7 linked regions of the Cricetulus griseus genome follow. Each later gene encodes a partner of the first gene's protein in a complex. Links are inferred from orthologs where the notes say so. Each region holds a gene or a part of one and is shown in the gene's direction. Other genes may lie near its edges. The genes, in order: Ranbp2, Cetn2, nucleoporin NUP188 homolog, Nup153, Xpo1, Cetn3 and Nup98.

Region 1 (4,653 bases):
GAGTCAGTGGGTCTGCCCTTTTTGGGGGTGGGTGAGGTACCCTTTGGACCTGGTAATAAGGTCAATGCCCTGTAGACCTACAACATTCTAAGCTCTCGCCACATCACTGCAGTTTTAATCTTAGGTCTTTGCAGACACAGCTTCTTTTCAGAAATTCTCACAACTCTTGATTCACAACCTTGAGACTATTACTTTTTTTTCTTTTTTCTTTTTCTTTAAGATACGGTTTCTCTGTGTAACCGCCCTAGGCTGTCATGGAACTGACTCAATAAGTCAGGTTGGCCTCGAACTCAACAGAGATCCACCTGCCTCTGCCTCTCAAGTGCTGGGGGTTGGTTAAAGGTGTGGTCCACCACTGCCCGGCAAAACTATTAGTTTAAAAAAGATTTTAATGTTTGTGTGTATCTCAGCACGTGTGTGCTCGGGTGCTACAGAGGTGAAAGATTTAGACCCTCGGAACTGGTTAGGGGTGGTTGTCGGCAACCAGATATGGGTGCTGGGAACTGAACTTGGGTCCTTCGGAGTAGCCAATATAACTTATAATTTATTACCGCTAATTGTTAAGTCACAAAACAGGACCCCAAACGGCAGTGCTGTTAACAATGTCGTAGATGGCCGGCCGCCCCGATTCTCACCCGGGGAAACAGAAACATTTTAGAATTTTTTTTAAAGATTTATTTATTTATAAATAAATGTATACAGTGTTCTGCCTGCATGTATGTCTGCGGGTCAGAGAGGGCACCAGACCTCATCACAGATGGTTGTGAGCCACCATGTGGTTGCTAAGAATTGAACTCAGTACCTGCGGAAGAACAGGCTGTGCTCTGATCCTCTGAGCCATCTCTCTCCAGCCCCAGAAACATTTTAAATTCAGCATTCCTCAGAAATCTAAGGATCCTGGTTTGTGTTCGTCAGGAAAGCCATCACTTCCCTTTTTTGCCCCTAACGGTCTATTACGCCGGGAAAAGTGCATCTCACCATGTAACGCCAATATTTCAACCATGTTTGGTTTATCCAAACATAAAGTCTTGGCCCAGTATTAACTATTATTCTGTTGAAACGAAAAGACAATGATGAAGTTCGTCTCTTTAAAAGGAAATCAACTTTTAAAATTTGACTAGATGGAGCGTCAAAAAGGTCGGACTCTCAGGGCGCTGTCATTTTGGGTCCTCTTTGTGATGTACCACTAATGAAATATATAAAGAGTTTTTTACACCCCCCCTCCCGGGGGGAAGAGTTATTCACATTCGTTTGAAAAGGGGGGAATATATATATATATAGAGAGAGAGACAGACAGAGAGAGAGAGAGAGAGAGAGAGAGAGAGAGAGAGAGAGAGAGAGAGAGAGAGAGAGAGAGAGAGAGAGAGAGAGAGAGAGGAGAGAGAGAGAGAGAGAGAGAGAGAGAGAGAGAGAGAGAGAGAGAGAGAGAGAGAGAGAGAGAGAGAGAGAGAGAGAGAGAGAGAGAGAGAGAGAGAGAGAGAGAGAGAGAGAGAGAGAGAGAGAGGAGAGAGAGAGAGAGAGGAGAGAGAGGAGAGAGAGAGAAAACGGTAACGTGGTCTGAAGGCGGGAGGCGACAAACAGGCGCGTCAGACCGCAGCGTGGCGCACGGTGATGACGCGAGTCGCACGCGCCGCCCCCATCCGTTCGCGACGGAGCTGCGTCACCGGTGTTCGGTGCTCACCTCCTGGAGACAGCGGCGGCTGTAGGCCCCAGGGCTGGCCTCCCGCTCTCGGGGAGCCTGGTCGGCGGCGCGATGAGGCGCAGCAAGGCCGAGGTGGAGCGGTACATCGCCTCGGTGCAGGGCTCCGCCCCGTCGCCGCGAGAGGTGAGCAGGTCCGGCCCAGCCGGCCGGCCAGCCGGCGTCATGGCTCCCGGCGGCCTCGGCTCCGGCTGGAGCGGAGGCGGCCGCGGGCGGCGTGGCGTGGCGCTGCTGAGCACCGGAGGCGCGGGCACTGCGGCCGCCCGCGTTTCCTCTTCATGGCGGGCCGCGGGCTCACTCGGGCCTCGTTGCCTCGGTCTCGGCGGGGCAGGCCGGCTTGGGGCGCTCTTCGGGGCTCGCCTGGCAGCGGCAGGCGCCTTCGGCCCCCGGGATAGACAGATCCGGCGACGCAGGCCGTGTCTGCCCGGGAGGTTGACGCCGCCCGGCGGGGGGCTTTTACCGTTGTGCGGGTGGCTCCGTGGACATGGAGCGGACGAACAGCCGCATTCGCAGGGCGCGTCGCACGGGAGGCCCTTAATTGGAGTCTTCCGTTGCTGTGCCCCGCTCCTTACATCGCCTTTCCCAAAATCTCCTTTGGAAGCTATCTTGGCTTTTTAAAAAGTTCTTTTACTTAAAGGTAGAAGGTCAGAAATTTTAAATTCTTTACAGGCAGTAGTTGCTGTGCCTTAACGTTGCTAACGTTTTCCCGTAACATGTTCCGTGGCTGTTTTTCTAATTTTGAAATCATTCATGTGTTTATGATTATTTTATATTCTTCAAGAGGGTTCGCCGGTGGAGATGTTCAGAGGCTCTAGAGTCAGTTTTTCTGGGGTTGAAGAGTCGGGTTTTGCCATTTCTAAACTGTAATTTGATATAGTATAGACTTTTCATCAATAAAAACACAGTTTTGATTCATGTTAAACATTTAGGGCAACCTTGAAATACAGCGAGCTTCAGTTTATCTATTGCAAACACACAGTTCAGTTTGTCTTTTTTTTAATTCTGAAAAATAGTTGTCTCTAAGGGTTTTATGATCGTCCATTTATACAAAAATGCACGGATGCACAAGTCCCTTATGCAAACAGCATAGTTTTCTGTTACCTTTAATCTTTTCTTAGGTAGTTTGAAAGAGTTAGATAATCCAGTCCAATAAAAATAACCCCTCAAAACTAGAATCCAAAGTGATCTTAAGAAATTTCATGTTTAATGCTGGGCAGTGGTGGCACACGCCTTTAGTCCCAACACTTGGGAGGCACAGACTAGCCTGGTCTACAGAGTGAGTTCTAGGACATCAGGGCTGTTACACAGAGAAAACCCTGTCTTGGAAAACAAAACAAAATTCAACTTCATTTAATGCTGTATGCCACAGGGGAAATTTTACAGCCAGTTTCCTCTGATGTGTCAAAATCAAAGTTCCAGGGCACAAAACATTATCAAATGAAAATACCTTCAGGTTTCTGTGTATAAAGTCTACATTAAACAAATGTATTTATATTGACTTGGGTCTTGTCACCAGGATATCTCATATGCTTGAAAATACTTAAAAACCTGAAGGAAAAAAGCAAAACCCAGAGACGCTGAAATCTATTAATGCCAAGCATTTCAAATAAGGCATACTCAAATAATAGTACCTAATACTATAAAAATAGTTGTTAAATTTTGTTAGGAACAGTGACAAGCAAATAATTTGTATGTATTCAGTTTTGCTTTTTCTGTTTCTGACTGGCCTTGAAGTCACAGAGCCTTTGCCTCCCAATTGCTTGTGTGCACCATTGAAGGTGTGCACCATGCCCAGCTACCAACATATTTTTTAAAAATACTTTTTGATGTAAGATTGGTTGGGTTGGATAGTGACCAACTTGGAGAGCAACAACCATAAGAAAGTTTGTCATAACTATTTTCATTCATTGTTCACTTTTGTGGCATTAACACAGTGTGTTGTTTAACCAAAACCCTTTGTAGTTAAAAAAAAAAAAAAGTTATGCCAAACAAGTTCTGTAACCACTAAGAAATAATGCCACAGGCCCTTCTTTCCTGTGCTCCTGGTGACCTGTATTTTATGTTTTGTATTTTATGAATTTGGTTATTGATATTTCATGTTTGTAGGATATTATATTTTGTTCTTTTGTGTCTAGATCATTTCACTTGGTGTATTTTCAAGATCATTCATGTTGTGGCAGGTGTTAAGAGTCATCTTTTTTTTTTTTTTTTTTTTTTGGTTTTTCGGGATAGGGTTTCTCTGTGGCTTTGGAGGCTGTCCTGGAACTAGCTCTTATAGACCAGGCTGGTCTCGAACTCACAGAGATCTGCCTGCCTCTGCCTCCCGAGTGCTGGGATTAAAGGTGTGCGCCACCAACGCCAGGCGAGTCATCCATTTTTAATGGCTGAATAATAATATATATATATATATATACTTAGGTATGCCACATTTTGCTTATTCATTTACTGCTGATTGACATTTAGGTTGTTTGTATCTTTTGCCCAATACATACAATGTAGCAAACAATGATGTAAAAATATTTTAGTGTCTGCTTTTAATTCCCTTGAGTTTACAACAGGTTTTCTGAGGAGCCCTCAAACTCCTTTCTATAGTGACTGTACTTTCTTATGTTCCTGCTGTCAATTTATAGGTTTTCAATTTCTTTATTTTTTTTACCAATGTTTCAAATTCAAATTTATTATCTTATTTCATTTTACTGAGAGAGAGAGAGAGAGAGAGAGAGAGAGAGAGAGAGAGAGAGAGAATAAGCGCTCTTGTGGGAGTCAAAGGAAAGTTTGCTAGAGTTGGTTCTCTTCTCTTGGCCTAGGGATGGAGTTTAGGTTTGTGGACTTGAGGGAAAGGTACCTTTACCTGCTGAAGCCACGTTGCCAGCTTTAATTATCTTAAATCTTTAGTTTTGTTTTTTTGAGACTTTTTTTTGTTTTTGTTTTTTTTTTTGGTTTTTTTTTTTTTT
Region 2 (3,847 bases), on another chromosome or scaffold:
TGACAGTGATGACTCAGAAAATGGTAAGTTAGTTGAGATAATGAGCATACTTCCCATCCATAATGGTAGATACATGGGAATCTAGACATAAAAAGAACTTCATCCAATAAAATCTATACCATTCACATGATTGAGCATTGTATTTATAATTAAGAGGATCCCTAATTTTCATTTGGCTTTCTTTAGGGTTACGGTATCACAGAAATCATTTTACCTTGTCTCATATGACCATATGATAATCACAAGCATTAAAACATGTTAACACAGAGATTTTCATATGCTTCTCATTTTTATTTTAATATTATTAAAATTAGATTAGCATACAATAAATCAGGTATTGTGACATTTTTCGGACAAATGCTTCTCATTTTGACAATTCAGTATGTACAATCACAGGCACAAGAATTTTGAGCTTTAGAATAGATAAGGTGTTTTGGTACTTCTAAGGTTCCTTTCATCTATTCCTAGTTTCTTAGATCCTTTTAGCAGACCAACTTTGCTCTTACATTGGCCTTCTGGCTTATTGGTGTGGCTCCTTCTCTCAGTATACCTGAAGAAAGGTTACCCTTTCAAGTTCCTCAAAGTGTTTCCCAGGCACAGGTTGGGAATTGTTTTGAAATCACCGTATCTACATCTGCATTCATGTATGTGCATGTGTGTACTGATTTAAGAGATCAGGAAGCTTGGTATTCTGCAGCTCTCTAGCAAATCCATTTCATACTCAAGATTGGCTCCTAGATTGCTCTAACTAGTTCTCTAGTTGTAACTCCTGGCAAGAACCTTCATTAAACATTTGAGGTTTAAATGCTTTGGAAAATTCTACTCTTTCTGTTAGAGTACTCAGAGACCCAGTAATTCTTTGAAGTCCATTGTGCAAAATGCCTCTCTTATTAAAAATGCCCTTATAAGTATATCTCTAACTTCTGTTAGCATTAGCAGTGTATTTTCTCTAATTATAACCCTATTTGCTGCTTTTAAAAATGTAAAAAAGAATCTAGAATCTCCTTGGTCTGTACAGTGTTTTAGATACAATTATATTTCCTTTGTAATCCCAGAGTTTATGTTAAGTTTACTGAGTTTGTTTTCTTTTTCTATAATGGGTCTTACTTTTTTCTGTAACTGAAGGCATATATCACAAGGGCTATCACCAGGACCATGTGATGATGTGTGATGGGGGCCAGGGAATTAATCGAAGAAGATAGTTTCCCTAAAACTACCCCCTTGGCTTTAGAACTGGGGAAAGTTCTGAACAAGACAAAGCAAAAGAAGGGCAATCCGTATAGATACCTAGTAATATCCAGTGTTGGGTGTTGGAAAGATGAGCCCCAGCTCATGTCAGAAGCCCTTGTCTTCTACCTGTGGAAACTGTCCAGCTGCCCTAGGACTCTGTCCTCCCTACATGTCTCATTGACCCCTCAAACCAATCCTTGTGCCCGTTTATCAGAACTTCTTGGCTTTTCCACCAAGCTGGCATCTGTTCTTACTGAATTATGAGCTGATTATGGAATACATGTTAGGATAGGAAGTAGACAGAGAGTACATTCCACCGTGGACCAGAGAACCTGACTTGCCTGCCTTCCTAACATGGCCCAGGTCAGGTTTTTGGAAACAAAAGGATGACCAAGAAGTGGCAGGACTGTAGGATATGAATAACTATCTGTTTTCTGTTCTACTAAAGTCCGAGAAAGACACCAAAGAAGAAATCCTGAAAGCTTTCAAGCTCTTTGATGATGATGAAACTGGGAAAATATCATTCAAAAATCTAAAGCGTGTGGCCAAGGAGTTAGGCGAGAACTTGACTGATGAAGAACTGCAGGTGCGTAAAGCTTCAGTTAGAAACTCGAAACCTCACGTTGGAGCCCCCTGGCTTTCCCAGGTTCTATTTTCTCTACTAGGAAAACTTCTTATGCCTCTAGTGATAATTAAATGCCCATGGACCCTGCTTCTGGAGTACACATGTGCAGCTGAATTTCCTCTTTTGGGTTTCAGGCCAGGGTTACTTTTCAATTGATACATTTGACAATATATGTGATTTGGTTTCAAATAACTATCATAAAAAGTGGCACACTCACATTAGATGGACCATAGTTATCTTTCCTTATAGCATTATTTGAAGTTTCTTTTTTTAAATTTATTTTTATTTAAATTAGAAACAAGCCTGCTTCACATGTCAATCCCAGCTGTCTCTCCCTCCCCTCCTCCCCCACATCCCACGAAACCCTCACCCCATCCCTGTTCCTGTACCCAAGGAGGGTGAGGCCCTACATGGGGGATTGCCAAATTCTGTCATATCATTGGGTCAGGGCCTAGGCTCTCCCCATGTGTCCAGGCTGGGAGCACATCTCTCCATGTGGAATGGGCTACCAAAGTCCATTAATAACCCCAGGGATAAATACCGGTCTACTACCAGAGGTCCCATAGAGTGTCGAGACCTCCTCACTGATACCCACATTCAGGGGGTCTGGATCAGTCCTATGCTGGTTTCCCACTATTAGTCTGGGGTCCATGAGCAATGCCTTGTTCAGGACAGCTGTTTCTGTGGGTTTCACCAGCCTGGTCTTGACCTCTTTGCTCTTCACATCTCCCTCTTTGCAACTGGGTTCCAGGAGTTCCTTATCTAACCTGTTTTCAGTTTAGTTTGTGACTTAATCTAAGATGAACCCTTACTGCTGTGCAGGAAATGATTGATGAAGCTGATCGAGATGGAGATGGCGAGGTCAATGAGCAAGAGTTCCTGCGCATCATGAAGAAGACCAGTCTCTATTAAGATCACTGCTTCTTTTTCTACTTCAAGCACATGTGACTAGATTTAGTGCCTGCCATTTTGTGAAATACGGCTTTTGAGAACCCTCCTTCCCCAACCTGTGGGTTAACTAGCCATGCCCCTGAATCTATTTTTGACTTTTGGAAGTTTCTTTGATATTAAGTTCTTTGTACATTTCCCTGCTGACTAATTAAACAGGGCAGAACAAGAGCACATAGTGGGGAAAGGGTGTGAAAGTGTGACTGCAGCCACTCCACTTTCCATTAGTTCACATTGCTTATGCATTTTCACACAGCTGCAAACACACAATGGCTTCTTAGATGTCCATGTAGCCATGTCACAATAAACAGTGGTTGTTCTAAAATTGTTCTAGTTTTTAGTTGACACCAGAGTGCAGTTTTTTCCTCACATAAAACCCAACGAATGCTTGTTATGGCATTTAGATATGTGTTAATGCATTTGTTTTGTTTTAAAAATAAAACTTTTCTTAATTTAAGCTCTCATTCTTTAAAGGGATGAGTGTTTTTAACCTTTAACTGTGATTTCATCTTGTAAACAATTCTGTTGAGGGCAGCCTCATAGATATACAAAATTTGCTATCAGCCTATGGACAAAAAAGGAATTAATTCTTTGCTACTTTTCTGCCATGGAAAGTTTCTTGCTTTCAAAAGTTATTTTTACAACTGATAGGATTTCCATATGACCTAAGCCCTAAAACTTCTTCCATCAAACTGTAAAGCTTAGAGAGTCTTCTGGGTAATTTGTGCTTGGACAAAAAGGAGAGAGCTAGACAGTAGTAAGATTCAGGCAATCTTGTGAGCTTATTTGCTTATAGCATCTCATAGCATCTTAGGATTGGGTTCAGAAGAAAAGGGGTAATATCCAGGAGCCCTCTAAGCCCTGCATAGCATTGCCTATGAGAGAAACCCAATTATGTGGCTTTAAAGTCAACTCCATGGTGAAAGTAGGGAACAAGGTGGGCTGAAGGGAAATAGAAAATGAACAATGATTGAATACTTATTGATGCTCATATGAGAAAGAAACGATGGGTTTTTAACTTAATGGAGGCATTCTAGTCTTCTG
Region 3 (4,696 bases), on another chromosome or scaffold:
GGTGCTGCCAAATATGGAGGCAACAGTATCACCCACACCCACCGCCAGGACCCCAGCATAGGGGACCAGAGCTCTTGCTCCTCCCAGGCTGTCCTTCTGTGTACAGGGCCTGGGAATCAGCCAAATGGGAAGAGACATGCCCAGAAGCAGGTAGATGTGTGTTAGGATAAGGGGTCCACTGTCTCGTTCATCCAGGAAGAGAGACAGAAGGCTCCGAAGAGTGTGACCCAAGGGCTTGATTCGGAAATAGCGCACATATTCCAGGAAGATGAAGACGGCCAGGCATACCGTGGCAGCCACATATAGTAGTGGCCGGTCAAAGATGATACCTGGGATGTAAGTGGCTACCACAATGAAGTGGAAATACTTTCTCGTAATGGCAGGAGCCTTGTGTTTCTTGGACTCAGAAGATGACCGCTTGGCATTCTGGTACAGCACCACCAGGCAGGCCATGGTGGCCAGCAAAGACCAATAGGCTAGGAGGTAAATTCGAGTTTCTGTGTAGAAGAGGAACTGAAGAAGCCAGAGCAGGGGGTTCCTACGAATGAGCCAGTGCAGCCAGGGCAGAACCACACCAAGGCCTAGCACACAGGTCATGAGGTGGAAGAAGATGGAAGAGGCCCATGTGCCCGAGTCCATGAAGACAAAGAGGGTGCTGAAGAAGACACCCATGAGCACCATCCCTACCACCACCACCAACAGGAAGAAGTCCACTGGGTCCCCTTGGCTTTCAGTCAGAGAGCGCTTGATGAGCTGGTTGAGGACGAAGCTAATGCCACCTAATACCAGCAGTGCCTCCCCAGGAGTGAAGCATCGGGGCAGCAGGTACAGCAGGATCATGTTGAGATAAACAAATACCAGCAGGACTTCCAGGACCTCGATCACCTCGCCCACACTGAGGGAGTGCTTCATAATATAAATGATAATGCCTCCGGCCAAACCCGAGATGGCGCAAGTATTGGTGGGCACCGGGCGAGTGATGCCCAATGCCAACACCGAGGAGAAGAGAGCCACTGCCATGCCGGTGGCTGCAACCACAACGCCAAAGCGCTCGAAGTACGGGTTACCCGCAGTCTGGCAGCGTTCCTTCATGACCAGCCCAAGCAAAGGCATGACCATGGAGGCTGGCAGTAAGCCACTGTTCGCGGACATTCGGAACTGGAAAACGGCATTGCCTTGCTGGAGCAGCCGGTCCCACTTGTACTGAACGTAGAACGCCTGCACTGCGAGGGCCACAGCGCACCACGAGTATCGGTCCCACACCGCAGCGTGGATGCTCAACACCACTGCGAACACCACTGCAGCCTCCGCCAGCACCGAGCCACTCAGCGGGAACCCAGACTCCGCGACTGGGGGAGGGCACTGTCGGGTCATGTCTCTAGGCCTTGGGTTCCTGGGGAAGCTTGGTGACAAGGGATGCTTTGGCCTCAACCAGCCAAGCAGAGGGCAACAGCTTCACCCAGCCAGCAACCTTCTCCAACTTCCAAAAGTGTGCTCCACTCGGGCCACTCTGAGGCCTGGGAGCCTGCGCCCCGTCACCCTCCACCGCTTGCGACCTACGGTGTAGCGGATGTTTTGCACTCTTCACCTCTCACGGGCTCCACCGCCTCTACCGCGGACGGCTCTCAGCCCTGGGCAGCGCCATCTTGACAGCCCCATTCTGGGCCCGCCCCACCATCACGTGACGGAAAGTCCCGCCCCTATCGCAGGGGCTCGGTCACGTGGGCCCGGTGTATGGGGGCGGGGCTGGGACGCGCGCGCGAAGATGGCGGCTGCCGCCGGTGGGCCGTGTGTGAGGTGCGGAGGAGGGCGCGGCGGCGGGGGAGGCTGTGAGGCGCCGGGTGGGAGCGGGGAGGGAGTTGGGAACGGGATTCGGCGGCAGTGGTGGAGAAGAGGCCAGGCTGGGTGGGCGGACACTCGCAGCGGAGGCGGTTAGGTCCAAACCGTCCCCGCTCGCGGCGCTGAGGACACTTCTTGAGCGGGCCGGCCGCTCTCCCTTCCCTTTCCGTGGTCCCTGTGCCCTCTGTCGACCCACGCCGCACTCACGCTTCCTCCAGCACGCTCCCTGTAGGCACTGCAGAACATTTCGGGGTCGCATGGGAGACACCCCCCTCCCCGAACCTCGCCATATCGTCCCCGCGCCCTGCCCCGCCTCGGGCGTGCCTTGCCCACGCCGCGGGTTCTTCCCGCGGACGTCCTTAGTTCCCGCCTTCTTTTATTTTTGGCTGATTCCAGTTATTGATTCATTCAGCAGACATGCCTTCATCTTCCAAGAGATTTCGGGTAGCTGCGCCAGGCTTCAGACACAAGATGGATTATTACAAAACACACACACACGGTTCTCACTTAGGGAGTGCTTTTTTTTTTTTTTTTTGGAGGCGAGGGCTCCTGTATCACAGGCTGGCCTTGAACTCCTATCCTCCTGCCTTTGCCTTAGTGCGGAAAGTACGGACATGAATTACCAGTCTTGCTTGCCTTTAAAGAGCGCTTACTAGCGCCAGACCCTGGGAAAGTGCCTTGCAGGAATTATCTCATTCATTTCTGACAACTAGGAGAGAGAGGTGCCTCCTGTTACACATGGCTCAAAAGTCCAGTTCATACAGGGATAGTCCCCCTCTTCTGTGATAATCCCCGTGAGGATTCAGATTGAAGACTTGTCAGACTAAAGCCATAATCAGACCTCTGTGCTTATTACATCTTCTACATTACAGACCAGACTTCCACTCTTAAAACCTAAACATACTTGTCATCTGGAATTGACTCTGCTAGTTTCATTTGGTTTTGTTCCCTGCTGAACCATTAAACACGCAGACAGACATGTATATATCTCACACATCGCCTGTCTTTCTCTAAATCAGCCTCTTCCTTTGGATTTTCCTGTGGATAAGGTATGATCCTTGTGAGTTTGGTTTTCTTTCCTCTGGTGTTTCATGCTAGTCCTTGTATCCACAGTTATGGATACATACGTGTATGAAACGTTAAAAAAAGTGAATTTTTCAAAAGGAAAGGAAAAGTTTGGCTTGCTAGTAGGCTTTCATTCGTGTTGAGGAACTTACCAAACCCATCCTTGAGGCTGTTCTTTGACTGATTCTAGGGTTTTTAATTTTTTTTAAAGATTATTTATTATGTATACCGTGTTCTGTATGCCTGCACGCTAGAAGAGGGCACCAGATCTCATTACAGATGCTTGTGAGCCACCATGTGGTTGCTGGGAATTGAACTCAGGACCCCTGGAAGAGCACCAGTGCTCTTAACCACTGAGCCATCTCTCCAGCCCCTTATTTTTATTTTGAGGTCCTAGGGGAACAAACCCAGGACCTCAGAAATTCAAGGTAAACATTCTACTACCAAGCCACAACCTGAGGACAATGGAATTCTAGGCACTGTCTTGGTCTGTTAGCAGAGTGATTTTTGGCACTGAAAAGCATGCTTCCTAGCAGTTGGAAATAGTTGTCTCTATTTGAAAACCTGAGATCTGGATCAAGAAAACATCCATCTTGTTCCTTTTGTCTATTGCTTTGTGGTTGCCCTTAGAAGTCACCTTTCCATTTCAAGCTACTGCTTTTCCAAATGGGAATCTTTTAATCTTTTGTATGTGCAGGTGTGTGTGCATATGGAGGCCGTTGGGTGTTTTTCTTAGATCTCTATTTTACCAAGGCAGAGGTCTCCCTATCAATCTGGAGCTTGCTCATACAGCCCCTCTAGCAAACCATATTAGCCTCAGCTTCCCTCATCTCCTCCTGAGCACTTGTGTTGTTTTTTAGAGGCTTATTGAAATGACTGTGAAGCCTAATGTTCTGTGTGTGGTCTGACACTAACCCTCCTGCCTCAGCCTTTCTGCTGCTGCAGTTGCAGGTGTGTGCATAGGAATTGGCACTGATGACACTGGAATGATGCTCTTTAAGCCACTCAGAATCTTGTGAAAGTCACTCAGAATTTGGCAGAAAGTTGGTTTGAATATTGGATTGGCATTTTTGAGGTCTTTTGGTGTTTGGAAGTCTTGAGTGGTACAGGTGTGTGAGCAAGTAACGCCACGGTATGAAAAACTATTGCTATTGCTGGGCCCAGAGGCAGGCTAATATCTGAGTTCCAGGCCAGCTAGAGCTACACAGTAAAACCCCATCTCAAAAGAGTTAAAAGTCGGGGTTGGAGAGATGGCTTGGTGGCTAAGAGCATTGACTGTTCTTCCAGAGGTCCTGAGCTCAAGTCTCAGCAATCACATGGTGGCTCACAACCATCTGTAATGAGATCTGGTGCCCTCTTCTGGCCTGCAGGCATACCTGCATACAAAACACTACATAATAAACCTTTAAAAGCTGTTGCTGCAGCCAGGTGTTGGTGGCGAACGCCTTTAATCCCAGTACTTGGGAGGCAGAGGCAGGCGGATTTCTGTGAGTTTGAGGCCAGCCTGGTCTCCAGAGTGACTGCCAGGATAGGCTCCAAAGCTACACAGAGAAACCCTGTCTCGAAAAACAAAAACAAAACAACAACAACAACAAAAAAAAACCCAAACAAACAAAAAGCTATTGTTGCTAAGCTTAAATCTTAGTTTACAAGAGAACTGTGCCACTCCAATAGAGTCAAGTAGACAGTAACTGCATTTATTTCTATGTAGAATGCAACTTTCAAAAGGACTGTTTTTATTAGAATTACCTGGTTAGCTCAGTGTTCTCCAGATGGACTGATTATTCTTTTT
Region 4 (4,545 bases), on another chromosome or scaffold:
TTAGACAAAAACCCGTACCAACTGGTTACAGCACTGTTGTGCGTGCTGAAAGATATTATGAGTTCAAAGGTACAGTAACTTTTTATTAATTTGATTTTAATAGTGATTTGAATTATACAATTTGGGGGCCTGGCAGTTACTTTTGGTAGCTGACTTCTGGTTGGTCCTCAGTGCTTTCTTTGGGAACAGCTATTATAGTATAAGCGGAACCATGTCCCCGCTGAGGTAAACATTCATTCTATTTGCAGATGAGGAAAGTGAAGCTTAGAAAGAGGATCAGTAACCTCCCCAAGGCCACACAGCTAGTAAGTGACAGATTTCAATCATCTATTTGCTTTTATAGTTGTTATAATCTTAGAACAATGATCTCAAACGGAATATTAAGTCTGTGATTCTTCAAAATTAATTCTTCTTCCTTATCATCTAGTTACTTGTTTTAGGTCTTATGGAAAACTGGGTTATAGTCATGGTTTTGAGTGCCCTACTCGGTATCCTTACTGGTGCCCCTTCAATTCTTTGGGTCTCTAAATAGCCCATTGAATGAATAGGCTGGATCACATGATCACACAGACCTTTTGTCTAATTCCTGCCTCTTAACACCATGGATCCAGCCTTTGAAGGTACATTGTTTATTCACCTTCCTGATTCTAGGTGAAGCAAATACATTATTTCCCAGGAATGCAGTCGTCACCCTTACTTAAGTACGTTGATTGCATAGGTTATGGTTGCAATCGTTTGCTTCGTTTCTTGTACACCAGGAAGTCTACCGAGTGCTCTCCACAGATGAGTGCGCTAGCTCCTCACAACTTTATAAGGTGGATTTTAAAGCAACTATTTAATAGTGGAGTCATCCAAGGTCAAGTATGTAAGCAGTGAAGCAAGTCAGATTGCCAGCAGCCGGTGCGCCGACAACAAAGCCCTTAAATGTTTACTGAAACAGTAACGAAGTTGTATTTTTTTTGCCTTTGTTGAGACACAATCTCAGAGTGAAGCCGAAGCTAACCTTTAACTAACCATTCATTCCCCTTTGCCTCCCAAGCGCTGGGATTACCAGCAGAAGCCGAACGCCTTTTCTACTTGTTATGTAGGCCTAGGGAATCACGGTCACTGTTTTTAAAAGCAGTTTTTTGTTGTTGTTTGTTTGTTTTTTTCCCTCTATTTAGACACAGTGTCGTCCTTCGATTTTACTGTTTACTTCCATTCCGCTTATATCGATGAATGGGAGGAGATTACTATTTCCATGCCGAGTGCTGCTATTCTGAATCTAAACAAGCAAGCCAACTGCCGCCAAACGACCGGGGCTTTGTGCCTCTGCGGCACTCCGCGGGTGTCCTTCCGCGACAGCCTGCCTTTCCCAGAAGCCGCGTTCCTGCGCGGAAAAACTACACTTCCCAGAGGTCCCCGCGGCCGAGAGCGCGGGCTCGACCAACCCTTCCTTCCTTTGCCCGTCCCCCCCATCGTCGCAGCGTGATGATGCAAACGCGTCGGGCGCCGAGGACTGACGGCGTTCTGGCTCGCGACCGCGGCGGCGGCGGCGGCCTCAACAGCGGTAATAGGCGCAAGAGCGGCGGCGGCGACGGCGACGGCGACGGCGACGACTGCAGGGACGACGACGGCGGCGGCGGCGGGGCGGGCGCAGCGCGCACAGGGGAGGGGTAGGCGGGCGGCGCCAGCGGCCTGGACTGCGGCAGCGACGGCCAGGGCGGCTCAAGAGGAGCCTCCAGCAGCCGGCGGTCGAGCTAGGCCTCAGCGGCGCCCGGAGCTGCTCGCGCCGGCCTCGGCGGGAGATCTCCATAGAGACGGTGACAAACACAGACGCGGGGGTCCGCACGCGGCCTGCCGCCCGCAGCCAGCTCGGGGCCCTCAGCCGCCGCCACCGCCTTCCTCGCCGCCGGCGTGCGCGCACTCTCAGTTCCCGCTCGCTCCCTCGCGGTTCTCGCTGTGTCTGTGTGTCGCCTAGGGCCGGGCGGGGGAGGCCCTCAGGCCGCCGCCTCTGCCTCTCCCGCCCGGGAGCGGGAGTGGGAGGCCGCCCAGGCTCCATCATGGCCTCGGGAGCCGGAGGCATCGGAGGGGGCGGCGGCGGCAAGATCCGGACGCGTCGTTGCCACCAGGGGCCGGTGAAGCCTTACCAGCAGGGGCGACCCCAGCACCAGGTACGGGACCCGCACGCCGCGGCCGCTGGGCGGCTCCGGGCGGGGGGCGGTGCGAGGCCCCGGCTCCCCCCACGTGGAGCGGACCAGACGACCGGAGGGCCTGAGGCAGGGCCGGGGTGGCGACGGGAAGTGGGCAGAGCCGGGCCGGGCCGGGCCGGGCCTGGCCGTGCGGCGCACACGTGGGGTGCGAGCGGCCTCTCCCAGCTCTCCCGCCCAGGGGCTTTCCCCGGCGGGCGCTGGGCGGGAAAAGAAATTCCAGGCTTCGGAGACTCGGGTTTCTGTTTTGGCGGGTTTTGGGGTTTTGATGGTATTGACTCGCGACCTCGCGAGGGAATAAGGGGAAAGAGATGCGGTAACAGGCCCATCCGCTAGCAGGCTTCCTTTATTTATCTACTTTATTTATTTGTTTTTCTTTCTGGTGTTCCCGGCTTCTGGGTGCGTGGGGAGGGTAGTTGCCGCCGCCGCCGCCCAGAGGGACTTGGGGAGGGGGCGCTGTTCCCCGGATCGTGGAATAATAGTGATTCAGTCTTAGCTGCATTAAGACATTGCTGGTTGTCCGGTCCCCTCATCTCCCTGGGTTGGCCTTTCCAGATCTGGACACGCTGGCTTAGCTTCTCCTCCTCTTCCCGTCTTAACCGAGTTATAGTTACTGTGGCACTAAGGCATTTTGAAAGTCCCTCTCTGCTCTTACGTCTAGTCTCTGCGGCGCGATTCTTCCTCTCTTCTCTCCTCCCCGCTCAGTATTTTGAAGGCCAGAATCAGCCATTCTCTACACTTAACCAGTTCTCCAGCTCTGATCTCATACACCCAAGTATTTTTAATGCTGGGCGTTTTCTAGAAATTTAAGGTACTTGGGGCACAGCAGGAGTGTTGGCGGTCTCAAATAGTTAAGCCACTTTATGCCTACGTGGATGTTTATAATTTTAAAAAGTTGATTTCTGTTGTAAATGAGATGTTTGGTTTTTGAGAAAAATTTCAGGGTTTAAAAATTGCTTGTAAGAATTTAAGAAAATGTTAAAAACTTATTGTAACAAAGCCACCTAAAAGTACCTCGGTGAACTAAAGTAGGAAGTGTGCGTTTCAAGTTTATTGGAGTCTTAATAGTTTGTTGCATACTGTCAAATGTAGATTCTGTTTTATTCTGGATAGTGCTCAGATTTGAATACTTAACGCTTTTGTTTGGTAATGTTAAATTGTATCACTTTAGGCAGTTTAAAAAGTAAAGATATGAGGAAAAGTTTTGAATAGTAAAAGCTATAGTTATGTCCTCAGAAGTTATTTGTTGTTGGTTGGGAGGGTTGTCACTATTACCGTTTTCCCTAGATATGTACAGAGTGTTGAGGATGAGGAGCAGGAGTATTTGTCAACAGATTTTAAGATTAAAATCAGGTCCCAAGCCTGGCCATATTATTTTACCTAATGTGCAGCAGAAGTTAAGGCAGCGTTCTCCTAAGAATAACGAATAACCTTCGAATGCTTGTTAAAGAAAAATGAAAGAAAAATGAGCAGAGAAATGGATGGTTTGGATAGAATTTAGAAAGGAACTGATATATTCAAAGTGACAAAATTATGGTCACAGCTTATTTTTTACATGTACTCAGATAAAAATCTAATCTGGGAGAGAAGATGCCTAACAATTGAAACCCAAGTTGTTTTTATAACTGATCCCGAGTTCAGGCTGTATGGTTAAGTAGTTAAGTCAGTAAGTTAAGTCAGCTAAAATACTAGCTTCTTGCCTCAGCTGTTTAATCCCCCCACCCCACCCCTCCGAGACAGGGTTTCTCTGTGTGTAGCCATGGCTATTTAATTTAAAAGTTAATATCTTAACTTTGAACAGGGATTAAAGGTAACTGTTTATCGATTAGTGGATTTAATATTGGCAGAAACCACCAAAGAAAAGTATTTAGGGTTACATAAAAGAATGCATCTCAGTTTTTGTTTCTGTCTTAAAGTAACTAGTCTTACCTGGGTTTTAGTGGACTTCATCGAGCTTGTCCACTGGATGTTTTGCAACAGCTGCTGAGTCACCCTGGATGTAGTAAAGGAGCTTCATGACATGGCATGTTTTGTACTAATGTTTGATAAGTGTCCAGGGCTTCTGGGCATATGAAACCTTTGGTTGTGGGGTAGAAGGTTAGAATAAGAATAAGCAGGCTGGTACTATTAGTGGGTGCAGGACAGCCAATGTCAGGTCAAATAGCTAGTGCCGTCAGTCACCAAGTACCTGTAATTCCTGGATTAAGTTGACTTCTAATTTCCTGTTTTGACTTCTGGTTTAGCTCTGATGGGTAATGTCTAAACTTTAGCATTTTTCTGCTTTTAACTTAGCTTTAAAAAATGCCACCTTGCTTGAAGTTGTGGTGCTAGGAAGTTACTGTCTTGCTCAACCAGA
Region 5 (3,896 bases), about 81 Mb from region 1:
TCACATGGTGGCTTACAATAATCTATAATAGATAGGATCTGTTGCCCTCTTTTGGCATGCAGGCAGTACAGGTATAACACTGTATATATAATAAATTGTAGATAAATAAATAGATCTTTACTTTTTTAAAAAAATCAGGCATGATTGCAATTTAAGGCCTGTGTGAAAGCTTTCTGGGGGGAAGGGGCGGGTCTGAGGCAAACAGGGTTTCTCTGTGTGACACTTTGGCTGTCCTGGAACTTACTTTGTAGACTGGCTCACAGAGATCCACCTGCCTCTTTAAGACCACTTAGCCCAAGACTTCCAGGACTACCCAGTCTCAAAACAAAAGGTCAAGACAAAAAGTAAAGTGAAGGCTGGAGATTGTAGCTCAGATTCGATTCTTGTTGCTGTCAAAAACAAACAAGATTTCTATATTGGGTACAATTAGCATATTGCTTTCTTTGGATTGAGTCACACAGTGAAGTGTAATTCAGGGGATAATCCTATAAAGTAAAAAAGAAATTTGTTTACATGTATTCATTTTGTATGTAGTTGCCTGTCCCCAGGATCAGACTCAGATCGTCAGTCTTAATGGCAAATACTTCAATACTGGGGCCATGAAAATCTCTTGCCTGAGAAATTTGAATACCATACACTTACTAATTACTGCTACCTGTAGTTGGAGTGTTTCTCCAGAGCATCTGCTCCCAAATTACCAGCTGCTACTTCCCAAGTAACTGACTCCGAGACTTAAGTTATAACTGCTCTACTGATAGCTCAGGCTTGTTACTAGCTAACTCTTACATTTAAATTAACCCATATTACTGTCCATGCTTTCCCACATGGCTCATGATTTCTTACCTTATTTTCTACATGCCTGCTTCCTGGGCAGCTAGCTGGCATCTCTTGACTCATCTTTTTCCATCCCATCATCCTCAGTTTGACTTTCCTGCCTAACTTTATCCTGTTTAGCTACTGACCAGTCATAGCAACATATATTCACACAGTGTACAGAGGAATCTTCTGTAGCAGTTACCAGTGCATTGTATTATCTTGATGAATGTTATTGGGATGTTTTTTGAACCTTAGTAAAGCTAGATTAGTAACCAGTGAACTTTGTAGATCAGTTATTAATAAATCCCAAATCAACCACCAAGGGTATACAGAATATATACATCCTAAAGACCTTATTTTGGGGGTTGTGGAGGGTGGTAAGGATATCATGGTTTAAGTTCATCTCATATTCAATGTAGGTGATGTGTAAGTTGATGGTGACCCCCTCCCCATTGTCTATTCTCATTCCTCAGAGTAGGTTTTTATTGTTGTTGTTTTTAACTATTATTAAGATGGGGTTCTCAAGCCAATCGCCAATCAAACATAAACAGTAATTTAGATCCTGGGAAAGTTACTGAACAAGTTGTTTTTTTAAATTTCAGGTGTACTAAGGATGTAGTTCCCTATTTGCTAAGTGTGCACTGTAACACATAAAATAAAAACCTAGAGACAGATACTGGGGTTTAAGCTTCAAGCTGAAGATCAGAAAAGCAAAGCAGCCCAGCCAGCCATTAGCTCTCACCTCTACCTCAGACTAAAAGGGCTATCCTGTCATCAACATGGCTGGAGACTAATTCTCACATCAGACCCTTTGCTTCTTCCTTTTATACCTCTCAAATCCTGGGATTAAAGGTGTGGGATCCCAACCTTTATGTGAGCTGTTTTCTTTTTAGACTGGATAAATCTCATAACTCAGTGTGGCCATGAACTAACAGAGTAGTCTACCTCTGTCTCCTGAGTCTTGGGATTAAAGGTGTGTACCACCACATAGCTTCTATGCTGACTAGTGTGGCTGGCTTTGCATCAACTTCAGAAAATCTTTATTAAATCATAACTAATATATCACCACAGTGTACAAAGCAATAGGCTTAATCCCCAGTATCCCTATACCTGTGAAGCAAGTAGAGAGTTCAGAAGTGTAAAGTCATCCTCAGCTTTGTAGCAGTTTTGGTCTTCATCTGGGCCTCTCAAAGAAAAGCAAGCATTTCAGTACTTAGAGTATATGGTGTTTTATTTTGTGGGAATGAGTTTTGACTATGCATGTGTGCGTGCTATATATGTATCACATGTGTGTCTGGTGCTCTTGGATGTCAGAAGGAATAGACATAAGAAGAGAGTGTTGAATCCCATTTGACTGCTACTTGTGAGCTGCCTTTGGGTGTTGTTGGGAGTAGAGCCTGGGTCCTCTTGAAAAGCTTTTTAACCACAACCAGCTTTCCATCCCTTACCCTCCTTTGTCATTTTTAAAATAAATGTCTCTTGTTTAATTTTGCTTTCTCTTTTAATAAAATAGTTCCTGAATGTTCCAATGTTTCGAAATGTGTCCCTAAAGTGCCTCACTGAGATTGCTGGTGTGAGTGTAAGCCAATACGAGGAACAATTTGAAACTCTGTTTACACTTACAATGATGCAGCTAAAGCAGGTAATATACCACTATTTTGAAAACTGAATGATTTTAATGCATTAGAAATGGGAAGATTCATGACCAATAGCACTGCCCAATGAACAATAAAAAATAATAGATTTAAACTATAGAATAGTTAATACAGATGAATTGTGTGATTATATGTACATTATATAAAATCTTGAAAGTTTTATTTTCTTCCTTGAAATATTTAGGTTTTGCTCTTTGCCATTAAAGGGTCAGAAAGGGACTTTTCCTGCCTCTCTCTTCCTCTCTGTCTTTACATCTTTTCTCTTTCCTTATTTCTTACCTCCCTCTCAATAAAACTTTCAAAATGAAAAAAAAATATTAAGGGTTTTGGCGTTACATGATAACTAGAAATTTGAAGGTTGAATTTGATTATACATTGGGAAATTAGGAACCTGATAGGACCAATCTCTCCCTCCTCAGTCCTCAACATTGCTTGTCTAAACTAGACAACCTCTTCTCTAGACTAAGATCTGTTGGTTATCTAGGAAGATAAGCATGATGTTGTATTACTGTTTGCCATTTGAGTGTACCTTTATATTTTTTCTGTGTCTTGAGAAAAACCTGACAGAAAAATTCAAAGAATATAGCAGGCAGCGGTCTAGATTGGCCAGAAATACAGTGCAGATTAATGTCAGCAAATAGGGTTGTCATTTTAGAGTTCAGACTGTTTTCTTGTGGTTTTGTAACTTGTTTGTAACTTGGTTTTTAACTTCCAGATGCTTCCTTTAAATACTAATATTCGAGTTGCATACTCAAATGGAAAAGATGATGAACAGAACTTTATTCAAAATCTCAGTCTATTTCTCTGCACCTTTCTAAAGGAACATGGTCAACTTTTAGAAAAAAGACTGAATCTCAGGGAAGCACTCATGGAGGTAGGTTTGGCTCCTAGTATTTGTCTCTTCAAAGCAAAAATAAAATAAAATAAAAGGCTCTTGAATATGTGCCTGTTCTCTACATGGATTTTTGAGACATCTTGCTTGTTCTCCACCTGTATGCTTTTTGTGGTTTTGTTTTTGAGTCACGATACTTTTATTTAACCTTGACTGTCCTGGAACTTCACCGTAGAGCATCACAGAGATCTGCCTGCCTCTGCCTCCCTAATGCTTGGATTGGATTAAAAGCATGCCCAGCTGCTTTAGCTGCTCTTATACTATCTCCTAGGTTGTTGTGGAACTCTGTAGGGCAGTCTGGTGTTGATCTTTCAGTGAATCTAGGTGCTGAGATTATAAGCATGAGTATGCCTTGTTTCCAAAACAGATTCCTGCTTTGATATTTGGGTCTCTGTAGTTTTGGCAGACAGGCTGACCTTGAACATATAGACAGACATCCACCTGCCTCCCAAGAACTGGGATACAACTATGCCTGACAATTTTTTTTAATTGGAAAACTGTTAATATACAAAACATAAAAGCCAGACATGTCA
Region 6 (3,896 bases), on another chromosome or scaffold:
AGGTGTTTTTATACTTCATCTGTTCCTGGCTTGTACTACTTATATTTTAAATTCTATCTAAAATCCGATATTGTATTTTTCCATTTTGATCATTTATCTAGCACTGAAATTTTTGCATTTGGTGGGAAGAATGGGGTTAGTTAAAATTACCAAGAAATTGTTTTTAGGACCTTAGATTTAGGTATAGGTGACAACAAACTCTGGTTCTGTGATAGAGGGAGATTGTTAGCTAGGGCCGAAGTTGTCAAACTGTAGGCCCGGGACTGAATTTGACTGCTTACTCTGTACTACCACCCATTTATTTATGCTGCTTTTCTGCTACCAGATTGAGTGAGTAGTTTAGACTGTGAGCTTAAGTCTCCCAAAACCTAAAATGTTTTTCATCTGGCCCTTTATGGGAAATGTCTCTCAAGTCTTCATCGGAGGAACTAAGCCTTTGCATAGGGGAATTTTAATTTAAATCTTCAGGAATCTAAAATTGCCAAGAAGATTGTAAGAGTAGAGGATATGCAGTCGGTGCAGAGAAAGCAACAAGGCTGAGTGGTAATAGATGCTCAGCATGTTGGAGAAGTTTGATCTCATGTGGTCCCCTCTTCTAGAGAAGGTCAGAGCACTGGGAAGGCAGAATTGGGCCAGACTGATAGTCTTAAGTATTGTACTAAAATTTACAGACTGGGATACCATGTTTTACAAGAGTAGCTGATGAGAAGATTGAAGATGAACTGGAGAAATTCTGAGAAGACAGAAAGTTGTAGACTTTATGGTCAGAATTGCTAGATGAAAAGAAAGGCTTGAGTTTGAGAGTAAAATAAGATAGTGTCTTCAGAGCTGTAGTATCCAGTGGTAACTGGCACTTATGGGATCCAAAGCCTTACCACTATGTTAGAGTGAATAAATGATGCAGTTACCCTTCAGTCAGTGGAGGTCAAGGAGGCAGCAAAGCCCATAGGTGGCTATGGAAGGACTTGAAGGTCCAGTATCTATGAGTTTGAAATAAGTATTGTATGTTTGGATAGGAACTTTCTAATATTGTCTTTCATGATTTTTGATTTACTTTCAATGTAGTGCTTCAGAATTAGTTGTTTCCTTACATGATTTTTATAACGTCTGATGGGAGGACATTTCTGACAGTGTAGTTAAGTCATGTGTCTCTGTAGTTGGTTATAGTGTGCTTTATGTCAATAAAGTGCAGTACTGCAGTATGAAAATTAAAACAAAAAGTGGTTGAATGGATAGAAATTTGGAGTTTTGTGAAACAGGTGATACCTTGACTGTGTGGGTATTAACTGCTTTAAGTCCTCCTACTGGATTGTAGGCAAGAGCCATCATGCCTGGTTTGTTTCTATTGAAAAAGATATTTCTTTCAAATAGTACTTGTAGAACAGAAATGGAAAGTGAAGGTGTGGAAGAATATCACTGTAAAATACTTTATGTTGGATGACGCTCTAGTTGCTCAGAATTTATGGGCAGTTACAAGTCCTAAGAAAGCTGAATTCTAAAGGAGACTATTGGTAGGTGATTATATAGACACATCTATCTGAAATTCTAATAGAGTGTCAGTGGGTAAGTGCTTGTGCATCTTGGCGTCCCATCTGTTGTTTCTTTAAGTGCATTAGTATTTTCGGCAGTCTGCCTTTCTGGTTTACCTGTCATGGATGTTACTTAATCGATGAAATTTCATAACACTTTTTTCTTGTCCTGCTTTCTTGTTGGGACTGAATTCAAAATAAGTTGAGTGTGTGCCATAGAGTTAAGTGTGGTATTTTATTTTGGTGTTATGGCTGTAGGTATGCCAATTCTTTTTACTGAATATTTATGAGCTTTGATTTGCATACTTAGAGTAATATACTTCAATTAGTTTCTTGGAAACCTTTTTTTGGATAAAATTAATGGCTAAAAGATAATTTTGGATATATGTGTAGTTGATATGTACCATTAGCTTGACTGGTGCTTATTCAGCCAAATACAAATGAAATAGCAATAGACAACAACTTGTAGAAGACTTAAATTGTATTTTTTCCACTTTGGGCATATTAAACATTCCAGTACTTCCTGGCTATAGGCATTTGAAATTTTCAAATGAATCTATAGATCCCATTAGGACCAAATTACTTTTGATGGTGTGATGAAAATAATAAATGTCTTTCCCTGGAGCAGAACAGCATGTGGAGTTGCTTCAGAACTGTTTACCTAGATATTTTGAGAATTCTATTAAGCAATATCAAATTTTATAGATGTCAATTTTTATTGACTATTGATTAAAGGCTTATGATGTTGAAGTATACATACTTAGTATGTTGATATGTGGCTTTGTTTAATATATTAAGTCTGAAATGATTCATTTCTATTTAACTAGTTTGAGAATTATTATTTTGTTATATTTAAAAAAGACATGATTTAGACCCCCTTCCAGGGCTGTGGGTTGTGTGATCAGGTTTAATTGTTTTAATCCATCTTTAGTGTTGCTGAAAGTCAACAGGTTCTTTTAATCATGAAGATGCTGATAGCACTTGCACGTGCTAACTTGTTTTATGCTTGTATTAGTGGTGGCAATATCTTTGATTAATCCCTACATCTGAGTTGGGTTAAATTTGAGGAAGAATCAAGGTGTCACTTGGCTAACAGTTTTCACCTACGTAGTGTTCATTGTTCACTTAAACTCAGTGGCCTGATAGAGGTGGAATAGTAACTTTTGAAAAAATTGTTTTATGGACTTAATTATTTTATGTGTTATATTTACTGATATGAGTGTCTTGTTCACATGTGTCTTTGCATCACAGCAAACGTGGTGCCTAGGTCAGAAGAGGGCTTCAGATCTCATGGAACTGGAATTATAGACTCTTGTGATTTGCCATGTGGTTGCTGGGAGTTGAACTCATATGGTCTTTAAGAACAAGTGGTCCTAACTGCTGAAGCATCTCTCCATGCCCAGTTTAATTCTTAGTAATAATGGGATCAATATATATATATATATATATTGTGTGTGTGTGTGTGTGTGTGTGTGTGTGTGTGTGTGTGTAGTCTCTTTTTTGGCCTTTGTACTTACATTTGTAATATTTATTGACACTAAAAGATTACCATTTAAAGTCTGGCTTTGGAATTAGTATTATCTCTGAGTTTGTGATCTACCTTTATATTTAACTTTTAGATGGAATGTTGTCAGACTCACAGATCTCACCTCATTTAATAGCTGATTTTTAAAGATGAATGCTCTCTGACTCAAAAGTTTCTTTTAACTCTAGTGACAGACTGGATATTGGAAAGAGACCCACATGAAGAGATACTGAAAGCATTTAAACTATTTGATGATGATGATTCGGGTAAAATAAGCTTGAGGAATTTGCGACGCGTTGCCAGAGAATTGGGTGAAAATATGAGTGATGAAGAACTTCGAGCTATGATCGAAGAATTTGATAAAGATGGCGATGGAGAAAGTAAGTTTTGCCTTACTTTTTTTCTAAAATCTGTTGAGTTTTCAAGACTCCAAGCAAATTTTCTCTCCCTTCTCCCCCACATTTTCTTTCTCTTTTGTTTTTGAAGATGAGCCTCATGTTGCCTTGAACTTATTTCAAGTTTGATCTTGAACTGATAATCCTTTTGCCTCAGCCTCCTGAATAGATGGGAGTTCAATTGGGTGCCAAACTCTGAGCTTCTATTTATACTGAAGCAGATCTTTAAAACAGCTATGCAAGTTATGATATGAAATATTACACATAACTTCTCTGAAGATGAAATAATACCAAAATGTAGCTGCTTACTAAAATTTCAGACTTTCATGCTTTCCCTCTCAACCTGCTTGTACTTTGAACTATTACTAAATTAGTTGATTTTCTTTCAATCAGTTCTAATTTTTTTGTAAACATTTTTTCCTGCTACTCTGATTCAGGCCCTGATTT
Region 7 (2,902 bases), on another chromosome or scaffold:
CTGAGGGGAGTCAGTTACAGTATAGCTCAATATCCACATTCATAACTTAATGAAACACAGTCTTCACTAAAAATCTCTATTTTGGGGCTCAGCAGTTAGGAGTACTTGCTGCACTTGAAGAGAGAGGTTCAGGTCCTAGTACCCACATGATGATGGCTCACAACCATTATTAATCCAGGGGATCCAGTACCCTCTTCTCTCCTCTACATGAACAAAATAAAAATAAATCTTTAAACGTCAAAAACAAACCTTCCCAGTTCTGTCTTGCTATTTTCCTCTTTATCTCATGTGTTACATGTAAACTCTCTCCACCTTACAGGGCTTGGCTGTTTGCTTTACCTGGAAGGATTGGCCTTCTCTTATTAGGAAGGTCTCAGCTTACATCTGGTCTCCCCAAGGATGCTTCTCTTGACACCCCTTACTCTGAAATAGACACCCAATTTCTTTATACCCACAGCTTATCATAGCTTATGATTGATTCTTCAAGGTTAATTACTACTTGATATTTTCTTGTTTGTAAAGTTCATGAAAGCAAAGACCTCATTTTGTTTGCTGCTGTTTAAAGTCAGTAATAGTATGTGAATTCTGCAAGGCTTCTTCAAAGTGAGTTCCAGAGCTGATCAGATGGCTTCAGCAGATAAAAGTGCTTGTAGTCGAGCTTGAGGACCTGAGTTCAGCCCCCAAAACAGACACAGTGAAAGGAGAGAATTGACACCTACAAGTTGTCCTTTGACCTACACCTGCTCCTATGGCAACACATTCACAGACAATAAGTACACAGTTCCATGGACAAAAGGCATCTGGGAAAGCATCTTGAGTAAACCTGTAGAAAGGGAGATGGTTGGAGATCTTGGGTGCTCTGCAGTGAGAAAGATAGGATAACAGAGTCTAGGTTGAAGCAAATAGACAGGATGTTGCTACAAAGTATTCAGAGTATAAGTAATGGATAAAAGTAAATTAGTTTGTTTGTTTGTTTGTTTGTTTGTTTTTTCTCTTTAATGTCTCTGAGCCAGGTGCATTGGCAAGGCTGAAGCAGGAGAATAGTGGAAAGTTGGGGACCAGCCTGTAATACACAATGAGTTCCAGCCAGGCCAGCTGGAGCTACATATCAAGACTAGATCTCAAAAACCAAATGGTTATAAAATGCTCACAAATTGGATGTAGAGGGTACCACTAACAGTAGTATGGCTAAGCTCCTAAGTAGTTTGAGGTGAGAAGTAATGGTGGCCCACACTACAGCAAAAGCCATGCCCCGGAACTGGAAGATTGGTATATTGGGCTAGCATTGACTATCATTAGAACAATAGGGGTGGATCAGGAGAGTGTATAGATTGAGGAGGTCCTGCACTGCTTTAGTAAGGGATATGAACTTAGAATAAGGACATTAAAGTAAATGATGGTTTGAATACCATCTCTTAGTTTCTCTGAACCAGTTTTACCCTAAAGGTTTTTGATGCTTTGTCAAAATGATGTGTTTTGTGAGTCAAGATCTCAAGACCTGTCCAGCCCAAGGCTAAGTATAATTTCTCTTGTCTTCAGCAACTAGGTGACATAGCGGTAACACAGGTGCTGCTACAAGCTTGTTGGTTTTTCTCCTGCCTCCTGTCAGTTGTCATTGGGATTTTGTGTAATCTGTGGGTGGACTGAGGTAAAAGTTTCTTTTATCCTTACTGGTCTTGTTTCCCTGCAGGTGGATTGCTCAGGTTATGAACTAGAGCACTTACACACCAAAGTGACCTCACTATGCAACCGGATAGAGCAGATTCCATGTTACAATGCCAAGGACCGCCTGGCTCAGTCAGGTAAGCATGTGGGCTCTACTTGCTTGTGGCTTACTTGCTGTCTTTATGATTATGGCACCCACACTGTGGCGTCAGCACTCACTGTGATTTTTCCCTCTAGATATGGCCAAGCGTGTTGCCAACTTGCTTCGGGTAGTACTGAGCCTGCAGCATGCTCCTGATGCCACCTCCAATGCAACACTAGATCCTCAACGAGTCCCTTTGCGTCTGTTGGCTCCCCACATTGGCAGGCTCCCCATGCCTGAGGACTATGCCTTGGAGGAACTCCGTGGCCTCACACAGTCCTACCTTCGAGAACTGACTGTTGGGAGCCAGTGATCCCAGCTCTTGCCATCACATTCATGCCCTTTCACACTCACTACACACAGTCCCTAGCATTGTTAGAATTGACACTGTTCGCCAGTCTCTGGGTTGATGTGGAATCCTCCCTCCCTTTCTGCTGCCCTGTGCAGCATCTTCTAGTTGTTCAGGGTTTTTCCTAATACTGAACATACCGTACAAGGGCTTTTGGAAGCAAAAAAAAAAAAAAACAAACAAACAAGTCTCCACTTACCAACTTGAAGACCATTCAGTTTCTTTTTCTTTTGAAAAATGGTCAATAAAACCTCTTTGGCAGAACCTCCCAAAAAACAGGGAATTCTTTTCCACACCCAAAGTTCTGAGTCTTATGGCACACACCCCATGCCAAGGCCTAACTTCAACCACTGCAGCTCTTCTTGAAAGGAGCGAGACAGGTGACGAAACAAATGTCTGATAGATGCCTGAATGTCTGCCCCTAACACATTTGTCACTGAAGAGTTCTTGATTTACTGGGTTTGGGAGTGAAGAAGGTTGGACCTTGTTCTTTGACATGTTTAAGATAGAAGGGGCTGTCTGCCATGGAAGCAGAGATCTTCAAGGCTCTTTTCTTCATGCCTTGTATATCCTGTGACACTATACCTGCCCTATTATCATGTGCAGTGGCCCAGACCACAGAGAATGTGTCTCTGGGAAGCCTCTGAATTGCTATGGCCCTGGATTTATCAGTCATTTTCCTGGATCTGCCAGAGGAGTTTGGATAAACAATGTGAAAGGTGTTCCTCTCAGCCTTTCCATCTAAC

The links.
Region 2: Ranbp2 (region 1) and Cetn2 share a complex: the UniProt entries of both Homo sapiens proteins name them as parts of the nuclear pore complex. The link is inferred for Cricetulus griseus from reciprocal best matches to the Homo sapiens genes RANBP2 and CETN2.
Region 3: Ranbp2 (region 1) and nucleoporin NUP188 homolog share a complex: the UniProt entries of both Homo sapiens proteins name them as parts of the nuclear pore complex. The link is inferred for Cricetulus griseus from reciprocal best matches to the Homo sapiens genes RANBP2 and NUP188.
Region 4: Ranbp2 (region 1) and Nup153 share a complex: the UniProt entries of both Homo sapiens proteins name them as parts of the nuclear pore complex. The link is inferred for Cricetulus griseus from reciprocal best matches to the Homo sapiens genes RANBP2 and NUP153.
Region 5: the proteins of Ranbp2 (region 1) and Xpo1 are in contact, whole or in part, in a cryo-EM structure (PDB 9B62), measured with the Homo sapiens proteins. The link is inferred for Cricetulus griseus from reciprocal best matches to the Homo sapiens genes RANBP2 and XPO1. Residues at the interface, in NP_006258.3 of Homo sapiens: Val2508, Val2509, Ser2510, Pro2511, Pro2512, Lys2513, Phe2514, Val2515, Phe2516, Gly2841, Phe2842, Gly2843, Ser2845, Thr2846, Gly2847, Leu2848, Ser2849, Phe2850, Ala2851, Leu2853, Ala2854, Asn2857, Ser2858, Gly2859, Asp2860, Phe2861, Ala2862, Phe2863, Gly2864, Ser2865; in NP_003391.1 of Homo sapiens: Trp60, Val63, Asp64, Leu83, Asn97, Gln98, Gly101, Ile102, Lys104, Tyr105, Val107, Gly108, Ile110, Ile111, Leu134, Phe149, Asp152, Ile153, Gly155, Ala156, Ser157, Arg158, Thr159, Ser160, Glu161, Leu163, Cys164, Asn167, Leu208, Phe211.
Region 6: Ranbp2 (region 1) and Cetn3 share a complex: the UniProt entries of both Homo sapiens proteins name them as parts of the nuclear pore complex. The link is inferred for Cricetulus griseus from reciprocal best matches to the Homo sapiens genes RANBP2 and CETN3.
Region 7: Ranbp2 (region 1) and Nup98 share a complex: the UniProt entries of both Homo sapiens proteins name them as parts of the nuclear pore complex. The link is inferred for Cricetulus griseus from reciprocal best matches to the Homo sapiens genes RANBP2 and NUP98.

Annotation. Positions count from the first base shown.
Region 1 is NW_023276807.1:2,653,730-2,658,382, reverse strand, and holds the start of Ranbp2 (E3 SUMO-protein ligase RanBP2), read left to right. Parts: upstream 1-1,640; 5' UTR 1,641-1,753; coding exon 1,754-1,825; intron 1,826-4,653. UniProt on the Homo sapiens protein: E3 SUMO-protein ligase which facilitates SUMO1 and SUMO2 conjugation by UBE2I. Involved in transport factor (Ran-GTP, karyopherin)-mediated protein import via the F-G repeat-containing domain which acts as a docking site for substrates.
Region 2 is NC_048604.1:2,891,017-2,894,863, forward strand, and holds the end of Cetn2 (centrin-2), read left to right. Parts: coding exon 1-23; intron 24-1,678; coding exon 1,679-1,816; intron 1,817-2,677; coding exon 2,678-2,767; 3' UTR 2,768-3,260; downstream 3,261-3,847. UniProt on the Homo sapiens protein: Plays a fundamental role in microtubule organizing center structure and function. Required for centriole duplication and correct spindle formation. Has a role in regulating cytokinesis and genome stability via cooperation with CALM1 and CCP110.
Region 3 is NC_048599.1:141,944,732-141,949,427, forward strand, and holds the start of nucleoporin NUP188 homolog, read left to right. Parts: upstream 1-1,735; 5' UTR 1,736-1,765; coding exon 1,766-1,797; intron 1,798-4,696. Other genes in the region: Dolk (dolichol kinase), read right to left, coding at 1-1,374. UniProt on the Homo sapiens protein: Component of the nuclear pore complex (NPC), a complex required for the trafficking across the nuclear envelope. Required for proper protein transport into the nucleus.
Region 4 is NC_048596.1:266,427,282-266,431,826, reverse strand, and holds the start of Nup153 (nuclear pore complex protein Nup153), read left to right. Parts: upstream 1-1,514; 5' UTR 1,515-2,042; coding exon 2,043-2,153; intron 2,154-4,545. UniProt on the Homo sapiens protein: Component of the nuclear pore complex (NPC), a complex required for the trafficking across the nuclear envelope. Functions as a scaffolding element in the nuclear phase of the NPC essential for normal nucleocytoplasmic transport of proteins and mRNAs.
Region 5 is NW_023276807.1:83,488,643-83,492,538, reverse strand, and holds part of Xpo1 (exportin-1), read left to right. Parts: intron 1-2,329; coding exon 2,330-2,458; intron 2,459-3,186; coding exon 3,187-3,345; intron 3,346-3,896. UniProt on the Homo sapiens protein: Mediates the nuclear export of cellular proteins (cargos) bearing a leucine-rich nuclear export signal (NES) and of RNAs.
Region 6 is NC_048595.1:302,238,966-302,242,861, forward strand, and holds part of Cetn3 (centrin-3), read left to right. Parts: intron 1-3,242; coding exon 3,243-3,434; intron 3,435-3,896. UniProt on the Homo sapiens protein: Plays a fundamental role in microtubule-organizing center structure and function. As a component of the TREX-2 complex, involved in the export of mRNAs to the cytoplasm through the nuclear pores.
Region 7 is NC_048596.1:97,257,054-97,259,955, forward strand, and holds the end of Nup98 (nuclear pore complex protein Nup98-Nup96), read left to right. Parts: intron 1-1,690; coding exon 1,691-1,802; intron 1,803-1,902; coding exon 1,903-2,120; 3' UTR 2,121-2,332; downstream 2,333-2,902. UniProt on the Homo sapiens protein: Plays a role in the nuclear pore complex (NPC) assembly and/or maintenance. NUP98 and NUP96 are involved in the bidirectional transport across the NPC. May anchor NUP153 and TPR to the NPC.